Linked DNA regions of Coturnix japonica. The protein of the gene in region 1 purifies or fractionates together with the protein of each later gene. This does not show direct contact. Links are inferred from orthologs where the notes say so. Each region holds a gene or a part of one and is shown on either strand. Other genes may lie near its edges. The genes, in order: SLC37A3 and ATRAID.

Region 1 (4,267 bases):
CAGGGTCAGGCTGTGGCTTTCTTTTTAATTATTTGAGATGTGTATTTTCATTATTTTAATTAAAACCACGTTCCCCTTTTAATTAAGAGGTTCACGGGTGCTCTAAGCAACAGTGGGGAGGATTTTGCACATATATTAGAAAAGTTATAAAACATAATATTTAGATTCCTACCAATTAACATCATGACCAAGTTTGCAGCACCATACTTTTCAACCTCATGAATCCAGTGAGGAATAGACTCAAACGTGGACCTCCTAGTGAGGTCGTAGGCAAGGATGGCTCCATGGGCGCTCCTGTAATAGGACTGGGTTATTGTCCGGAAGCGCTCCTGACCAGCCGTGTCCCACACTTGGATCTGCAAGAGAAAGGAATCAAGTTGTGAAGGCCAGTAGATCCAGGGTGGATGTGGCAGTCTGGTCCAGTGTTTGGTGACCCTGTCCATAGCAGAGGGGCTGAAACTAGATGATCTTTGAGGTCCCAAACACCCACAGCTACATCAGGGTACTCAGAGCCTGACTTTGGGTATCAGCAGGGATGGGGCATCCGCCGCCTCTTAGGGTGTCACTGTGCCAGTGCTCCACTATGCTTATGGTAAAACACTTTCTCCTGATGTCTAGTTTAAACCTCCCCTTATCCCACCACAGCAGACCCCGCTATAGAGTCTGTCCCGTTCCTTCTCACATTCCCCCTTCAGACCCCGGGATGCCGCTCTCGATGCGGTAATGGAGGCAGGGCCGCAGTCCCGCCCCGAGGCGCCTCCCAGCCCGCTCCCATCACCCACCTTGACCTTCTTGCCGTCGATATCCACGGAGCGCACGGTGAAGTCCACCCCGATGGTGTTCTGCTGCTTCTCGTAGAACTGCCCCGTCTTGAAGCGGTGCACCACGCACGTCTTCCCCACGTTGGAGTCCCCGATCAGGATGATCTTAAAGAGGTAATCGAACGCGTCGTCCGCGCTGGAGCTGGAGAACGGCATCCCGCAGCCCGGTCCTGCAGTGCCGGCAAAGCACGGGGTGAAGGGCCGTACCCCGAACAAGGGCTGCCCGCACCTCCAGCAGCAGCACGACCCGAACCAGAGCCGCCCCACCTGCACGGCTCACCTGCCGCCCAGGTAGCGCCGCTTTGTACCCCGCCCCGCCGCACCGGGTCGACGGGAAACGTAGTCCCAGCCCTTCCTTCTCCTCTCCCTCCGCCCCTCGGCCGGGGCGGTGCCGCTTCCTTCCCCTCCCCTCCCCTCCCTTCCACGCCGGCTGCGAGGCGGGGCCGCCGGGCGGACTCCCGGCCTACAAGTCCCGCCGTGCCCGTGGACCGACACCGCCGTTCCGGGTCGCCGCTTCCTGAGCGCCGCGGAGGTTCGGCACAGTGCGGTACGGGGGGATGCGGGGCCGGGAGCTGATGGGAGGGGGATGGATGGATGGATGGATGGATTTACGATGCACCTGGCGAGGTTCGGGTCGGGTGTTACGGAACGTTTCCTCTCGGCAGGAGCGGTGCTGTGCTGGCACAGGCTGCACAGGGAGGTGGTGCAGTCACCGTCCCCAGAGGTGTTCCGGAGCCGTGTGGATGTGGCACTGAGGGATGTGGGCATGGTGGGCATTCATCGGTGCTTGCTGAACATCAAAGGGTGGGTGTGAGCACAGAGAGGCTGTGTGTGGTGCATTACAGCAGTGACGTGGAGGACAAGATGCATTCCAGATTGCTGTACACAGTACGGAGTGAAGAGTGTCTCCATTGGTGATAACAACCAGGGAATGGTGTACAGAGCTGAATATTGGTGTCAGCGCATTGGAAATGACAGCGACAGTGTTGGAATAGTGCAGAGTTTGCAGTGTGGGTCCCACGAATGCTCACTTAGGAACAGAAAGAGCAGCACGTGCAACTTCATCAGGACCTGTTGAGCCAGTATGAGGCTGAAGGTGATGCTGCCCTGGATCACACCATCAACTCTGACCACTACATCGTGATGCTGACTGAGCTGAAGGCTCCAACTTCTGGAGTCAGGCCAAAGAAGAAGACAACCTTCCTCCTGCAGCACAGCAGCTGTACCAATCTGAAGACTGTGGAGCACAGTGTCAGTCTTGGCTGGACTATCCTACCACAGCAATTGTATAGTCCTGGTTTGGTGCCTTTTGGCTCCCATCTGCTCAGGCCAGGGGAAGGTGTGAAGGCACTTGTTCATCGATGGTGAAACTGCACGGCCAATAGCGGTGACTGTGTTGAAAAATAGTGTTGCTGAGAATTTGCTCTGTCAAATAGCATTTGACATGGGAAGAGCTGCAGTTGGTAGATCCTGGAGGACTCCTCAGTGATGGGTACTGAGGAATGCAAGAAATACATGGGTTGGAGGATGACCAAGGGGTGCTTGGGGAATGGGAATGAAAAAATGCGAGTTGTCGAGGGATGTACAGCTGATGAGATGGATAGAAACGTGAACTGAAGTGAGGAGGAATAGCAGAGCCATTCCTGCTGAATTCTGGCTGTTTGGTGACCAGCACTGTATTTAGACTTGTGTTTTAATTCGTATGCTTTCTTCTTTTCTCCCTTCCCACCTTCTTCTCTTTAAGCAAGCAGACAAAATGACCTAAGCATCGAGCAACCTTTGCTGCCTGGGCGGGAGCAGGGCCATGGCTGTGCCTGGAAGCTCACGGAGGCAGCCTGCAAACAGAGGCCTGGTGTCCCATTGCACTCATCATCATGTTGTGGTGTTCCTGCTGACCTTCTTCAGGTAGGCTGTGTCCTTCTACAGAGCGGTGTTTGTTTCACTGAACGTGGGGAGGTACAGAGCTCGTCTAAAGAAGGAGAGCAGAAGTAGGGACGTACTCTTATTTTTGGCTCTGAGCCTTGAAAGCAAACACAAAAAGTCAATAGAAACAGCTGGTCTGAGAGTCCTGCAGTAGCTAAGTGAAGCTTGCGGTGCCCTTGGGGAATGCAGCCACCAACAGAGCCCTCACCAAAGGTGAGACTGACTGCCAGGAACACAGCCCGTGGCAGAAGGGTTGTCCTGGGTGGGTGCACAAGACAGATTCTCCCTCTCTGAAGTCAGTGTCTGCCCATGTTTTCGGAGCTCCTGTTGCTAGCAACCATCTCCAAAATGTCAGTTCTCTGTTCCTTGGAGCATATGTCTGACTTTTGAGTCTTGCCCTTTCCCATATGACCAGCAGAGAAGATTTGGCCAACCTGTGCTTGTGTTTTTTTCTGGCAGTTACTCCTTGCTCCACGCTTCCAGAAAGACGTTCAGTAATGTCAAAGTCAGCATTTCAAACCAGTGGACTCCGTCCTGCCTGAACAGCACAACTTTTGAGCTCCGGCCAAATGAGGTAACCAGCAAGTGCTAAGAAAGATGAGTAGATTCCAGTAAGCTTAGGTTGTAGTGCTGAAGAGGCTCTTTTATTTCTTGCTGTCAGGGCTGCTTCTCTGAATGTGTGTGGAAACTTCAGGTTAATGAATGTAGTTTTCTGGATTACCAGCTGGTGTTGAACACTTTCCTAGTGGTTCCCAGAGAGAAATTAGTAAGGAAGTTGGTGTTCTGATTGAGACTGGGACACCCCCCTGCTCATAGAGCCAACAGAACAGAGGAGGTGAGGGAGGGGGAAGGAGGGATCCTGCTTTGAAGTGCCGGAGGCAATAAAGGAGAGCAGTGAATGGGGTTACAGTCCTTTAACATCCTGGCTCTGGCTTTCCGGTGCTGGTAACGATACCGTGATTTTATTAGATCTGCACTTCTCAGTCTTTATGGATTTGTAAGTCGTCTGGGGGTTTTATAATAAGTTCAAACCTAGTGACAAGAGATTTGATTCTCTTACCTTTCTAAGACACTTAATAGCTTGTGGAACTCCAGGAATCTGATAAAAGTTGACATCTACTGCTATAAGTAGGTGCTGGTGGCTTCAAGTGGCAGCGAATGTTTTTCAAGGGCCTTATTAGTTTCCTTTGACATGTGAGACTTAAGCAGAAGCTGTGTTGATTGGCCATATCGAAGTTAAGTCTCTTAAACTAAGCAGTTGTATAATTGGTGCTGTCTGCGTAGGATGTTCCTTTGGGGAGGCAGAATCAAACTAAACCTGACAGTAGTTGAGTTAGATACATTTGTAGGCCAGGTTTGGATTGTTTGCTTGTTTTTCTAATGGGGATAAAGTGTGGGGGAAGCATTGTCCTAATACACTTTGTTCATTCTTCAAGTCATCCTCAAAGCTTTTTTCCACTGATGTCTCTAATGCAAGTTTGTGGACAACGGGACCTTTTCCTTTGTTTGATCATACTGAATAT
Region 2 (4,455 bases), on another chromosome or scaffold:
CGCTGCGGGAGGTGGCGACGGCGAATCCGGCCCCGCTCGTCCTCGCGGGGACCTTCGCTCCGGAGTTGTCGGCCCGCCTCAAGGACCTGAGGGGGGGGGAACGACGCACCCGGGAGGGGTCACCGCAGCCTTCCCCGCCCCGCTCCCCCGCAGCTCGTCTCCGGGCCAAAGGCGAACGGGGGCGGCCCCGCCCGACGCCGACCCCGGCCCCGCAGCCGGCGAGACCGGCACGGCCGGAGCGGGACGGACGGGCTCGGCGTGACGCGGTCGGGCTCCGTGCGGCCGAACCCGCCGCTCCTCCCGCACTCGTTAAGGCGCAACCCCCACCTGGGGCCGCGCTACGACGGGGCGGGCGGCGCTGATCCGCGCAGGAATGCGGCTCTGGATCGGCCCCCGGTGCCCGGAGCGAGGAGCGGGGGTTGGCGGTGCCGAAAGGAGGCGAGAGGGCAGCGCTGCCCGCCCCGCCCGCACGGCGGGCACGGTCCAAGGTCACCCACCGCGCTCCGAGACACAACACGGGGCGATCCCCCCCCCCCACCTCCTGGCCCCGTGCCCGGCGTTCCCCCCCGGTGCTCCTGCCCCGTGTCCCGGTGCCCCCTTGACCTCAAGGCTTCACTCCCGGTGCCGCCGTGTTCCCGGTCCCCTCGTTGCCCCCCCATGTCCCACGTCCCATCTCCGCTCCCTGTGTCCTGGTATCCCGGTGTCCCCGCTCCCCATGTCCTGGTGTCCCGGTATCCCGGTGTCCCCATGTCCCGTTGTCCCCACTCCCCATGTCCCGGTATCCCAGTGTCCCGGTGTCCCCGCTCCCCATGTCCCCATGTCCCGGTATCCCGGTGTCCCCATGTCCCGGTGTCCCCACTCCCCATGTCCCCATGTCCCGGTATCCCAGTGTCCCGGTGTCCCCGCTCCCCATGTCCCAGTGTCCCCGCTCCCCATGTCCCGGTGTCCCCGCTCCCCATGTCCCGTTCTCCCCACTCCCCATGTCCCCATGTCCCGGTATCCCGGTGTCCCCATGTCCCGGTGTCCCCACTCCCCATGTCCCCATGTCCTGGTATCCCGGTGTCCTGGTGTCCCCGCTCCCCGTGTCCCGGTGTTCCCGCTCCCCATGTCCCGGTATCCCCGTGTCCCGGTGTCCCCGCTCCCCATGTCCTGGTATCCCGGTGTCCTGGTGTCCCCGCTCCCCATGTCCCGGTGTCCCGGTATCCCGGTGTCCCGGTGTCCGCACACCAACTCCCCGCTCCCCTCGTTGTTTCCCCGCCGTCCGCAGCCCGAAGGCCGCCCCGATTCCCGCTGTGCCCCCGTTCCCGCTCCCCGCCCCGCCCCGCGTTCCCGCACCCTCCCGTTCCGTCGCTCCCCCTCCCGTGTGTCCCGTTCCCACACACGTTCCGGTTCCTCCTCCACTCACCGGCCGCTCTCCCGGCTCAGCCCACGTGCACCTGACAGCGCCGCGGCACGCTCTGATGACGTCACGACGCCGAGCATCGCCCTCACCTCCAGCCCAGCTCTCCGCGCGCCCCGATGCCGTCATCGCCCCGCCGTCCAATCCCGTGCGCGGATCTCGTCACGTGGCTGCTCCGGGGTCGGGTCGTCGCGCCTCGGCTCCCTCTGTCCGCGCTGTTCCCGGTGCGCGCGGCCCGTTAATGGCCCGTTAATGGCTGAACCATTGCACGCACACTGCGGCCGTTCCGCCCCGACAACAGGACCAGCCCGACCGGGGCGGGGCGGCGCTGCCGGAAGCGGAGCCGTGGGGTCCCTCCTCCTCCTCCTGCTGCTGTTGGTACCGGAGCCCGGTACCGGCCGAACCGCCCCGCCGCTGTGCGGGACGTGCCCGGGAACGGCGAGAAACGGGTCCATTGTGACACTGTACTGCGGGAACGGCCACGGGAACATCAACGGGCGGTGCTGTGTGCGGGGAGCGGGACAGCAACTGCTGGGGTATGGAGGAGTATAGCGGGGTATAGGGGATATGGGGATACAGGGGTATAGGGGTATAGGGGTATTGGGGATATAGGGAATATGGGGATATAGGGGTGGGGATATAGGGATGGGATGGGATGGGGATATAGGGATGTGGATATAGGGATAGGGGTGGGATCGGGATAGGGATATAGGGATGGAGTGGGGTTATAGAGATGGGATGGGATGGGGATTGGATAGGAATGGGGATTGGATGGTATGGGGATGTGATGGGGGTATAGGGATGGGGATGGGGATATAGGGATGGGATGGGGATATGGGGATGGGGTTATAGAGATGGGATGGGATGGGGATTCAATAGGAATGGGGATGGGATGGGGATATAGGGATGGGGATGGGGCTATAGGGATGGGGTGGGATGGGGATGGGATCGGGATGGGGTTATAGGGATGGGATGGGGTTATAGAGATGGGATGGGGATTGGATAGGAATGGGGATGGGATGGGGATGGGGATACAGGGATGGGGATGGGGATATAGAGATGGGATGGGATGAGGATTGGATAGGAATGGGGATATAGGGATAGGATGGGGATATAGGGATGGGATGGGGATATAGGGATGGGATGGGGATGGGATAGGAATGGGGATATAGGGATGGGATGGGATGGGATGGGATGGGGATTGGATAGGAATGGAGATGGGGATTGGATGGGATGGGGATATAGGGATGGGGTGTGATGGGGATGGAGATGGGATGGGGATGGGGTAATGGGTACGGGTTTGGAGTGTGCTATGGGTATTGGGTACACTACAGGGCACGGCTGTGGTGTGGGTGTGTTGTGGGTCATGGGCCGTGGGGTATGGGAGTGGAACGGGGGAACACAGGGCTCCCGGTGCTGCCCCTCCAGGTTGGACCTCAGCAACTGTTCCCTGCAGACCCTCCCCAGTGAATTCAGTGAGGCCGCGGCTGCCGTCGTGCTGTGAGTGCTGAGGGAAGGGGGAGGTGTGGGGGGGGCTCGGCTGCCCATCCCACCCTGTGCTGTCAGTCAGTGCTGGCCCCGGGGTGCAGCCGGTGTGATGCGTTGGTAGGGACCTGACGGACAACCCGCTGCTGGCGCTCCCCAATGATTCCTTCTTGGGCTTCACGCAGCTGCAACAACTGTGAGTGTGGGGCTGAGCTGTGCCGGGCTGTGGGCTGAGCCCTGTGCCCGGTGCTGAGCTGTGTTTGCAGCGCGGTGCCGCTGGCAGTGCCGTGCCCGGGTGGCAGCAAAGCGTGGGAGGAGGTGACGACAAATGGCAGCAGCCGCCTGTGCCAGGGCCAGAGGAACCCCTGCAACGGCTCCGAGGAGCTCGGTACGTTGGGGCTCTCCCTGCTCCCACTGTAGCCCTGCGTGGCACCGGGCAGGGCGGCCCGTGACCCTGTGCTGCCCACCAGCCCCGCTGTGCCCTGAGAACGCCGTCTGTGCCCCGGACGGACCCGGCCTCTCCCAGTGCCTCTGTGCCAGCCCCTTCCATGGCTACAAGTGCCTGCGACAGGTGGGTGTGGGGCTGGGGGGGCAGGGGGGGCTTGGAGGGGTCAGCAATCTCATGATCTCACCGTGCTCACCTTACAGGGCTCCTTCCCCGTGCCGCTGTTCTGCAGCGTGCTGGGCACAGTGACGGCAGCGCTGAGCATCGCGCTGTGGGGCACCCAGCGCCGACACGCTGCAGGGATGTGACTGCAACCAGGAGTTCAGATGTGGGACGGGGCCGGACGGTGGGGCAGGGGGTTAATAAAGCGTGTGTGGTTATGAGGCTGTCTCTGTGTCACCCCCATTTACAAGAAGGGGAGCAGGGAGGACCTGGGGAACTACAGGCCGGTGAGTCTCACCTCCGTGCCTGGGAAGATGATGGAACAGATCCTCCTGGACAACATGCTCAATCACATAAAGAACGAGCACGTGATCCGAGACAGCCAGCACAGCTTCACCAGGGTCAGGACACGCTAGGTCCTTTGTTCTGACGAGGTGCTCTCAAAGGTCATCAGTACGTCACAACTACTCTAAATGCTGTCTACCAGTGCCTGAGTTCTTCCTACGACCAAAGTGCCACTAACACCTTGCCTTTAGCTGTGCTGACCTACCATTAGTTCCATCGCCGAGCCACGCTTTCCGAGCTGTCAGAGCGTCTCACATCTAATGGCAATCCGTTCTCCACCCGTATCGACTGCACCACTCAGCCTTGTGTTCATGACAGCAAACTTGCTGACAGGGTTGCACTCGCATGTCCCTCATCGAAGTGTCGCCATGTATAAAGATGTTAAAGGAGCACGGTCCCTAAAGACCACTTGGGATCACCACTCGTACCGGCCTCCACATGGAAATAGACGGGCATTGACCACCACCCTCTGTCTGCGGCCTTTCACCATTGCTTATCCATCGGTTGCCACGCATCAAATCACTCCCTCCATGGAGAATGAGGAGGTGCATTTGGGGACCATGTCAAAGGCCTTGCTTCAGGGTCCCTGGTAACTAACATCAGTTGCCTTCCCTTCGTG

The links.
Region 2: the proteins of SLC37A3 (region 1) and ATRAID purify together in Homo sapiens (affinity purification with mass spectrometry; 3 studies listed by BioGRID and IntAct, counting the BioPlex papers as one, with this or other methods). This does not show direct contact. The link is inferred for Coturnix japonica from reciprocal best matches to the Homo sapiens genes SLC37A3 and ATRAID.

What each region holds. Positions count from the first base shown.
Region 1 is NC_029516.1:55,554,236-55,558,502, forward strand, and holds the start of SLC37A3 (sugar phosphate exchanger 3), read left to right. Parts: upstream 1-1,234; 5' UTR 1,235-1,368; intron 1,369-2,565; 5' UTR 2,566-2,625; coding exon 2,626-2,726; intron 2,727-3,203; coding exon 3,204-3,318; intron 3,319-4,267. Other genes in the region: RAB19 (ras-related protein Rab-19), read right to left, coding at 173-356, 783-977. UniProt on the Homo sapiens protein: Unlike the other SLC37 members, lacks glucose-6-phosphate antiporter activity.
Region 2 is NC_029518.1:95,344,152-95,348,606, reverse strand, and holds ATRAID (all-trans retinoic acid-induced differentiation factor), read left to right. Parts: upstream 1-1,529; 5' UTR 1,530-1,651; coding exon 1,652-1,935; intron 1,936-2,827; coding exon 2,828-2,899; intron 2,900-3,008; coding exon 3,009-3,080; intron 3,081-3,150; coding exon 3,151-3,272; intron 3,273-3,354; coding exon 3,355-3,455; intron 3,456-3,532; coding exon 3,533-3,637; 3' UTR 3,638-3,712; downstream 3,713-4,455. Other genes in the region: collagen alpha-1(I) chain-like, read left to right, coding at 1-262. UniProt on the Homo sapiens protein: Promotes osteoblast cell differentiation and terminal mineralization. Plays a role in inducing the cell cycle arrest via inhibiting CCND1 expression in all-trans-retinoic acid (ATRA) signal pathway.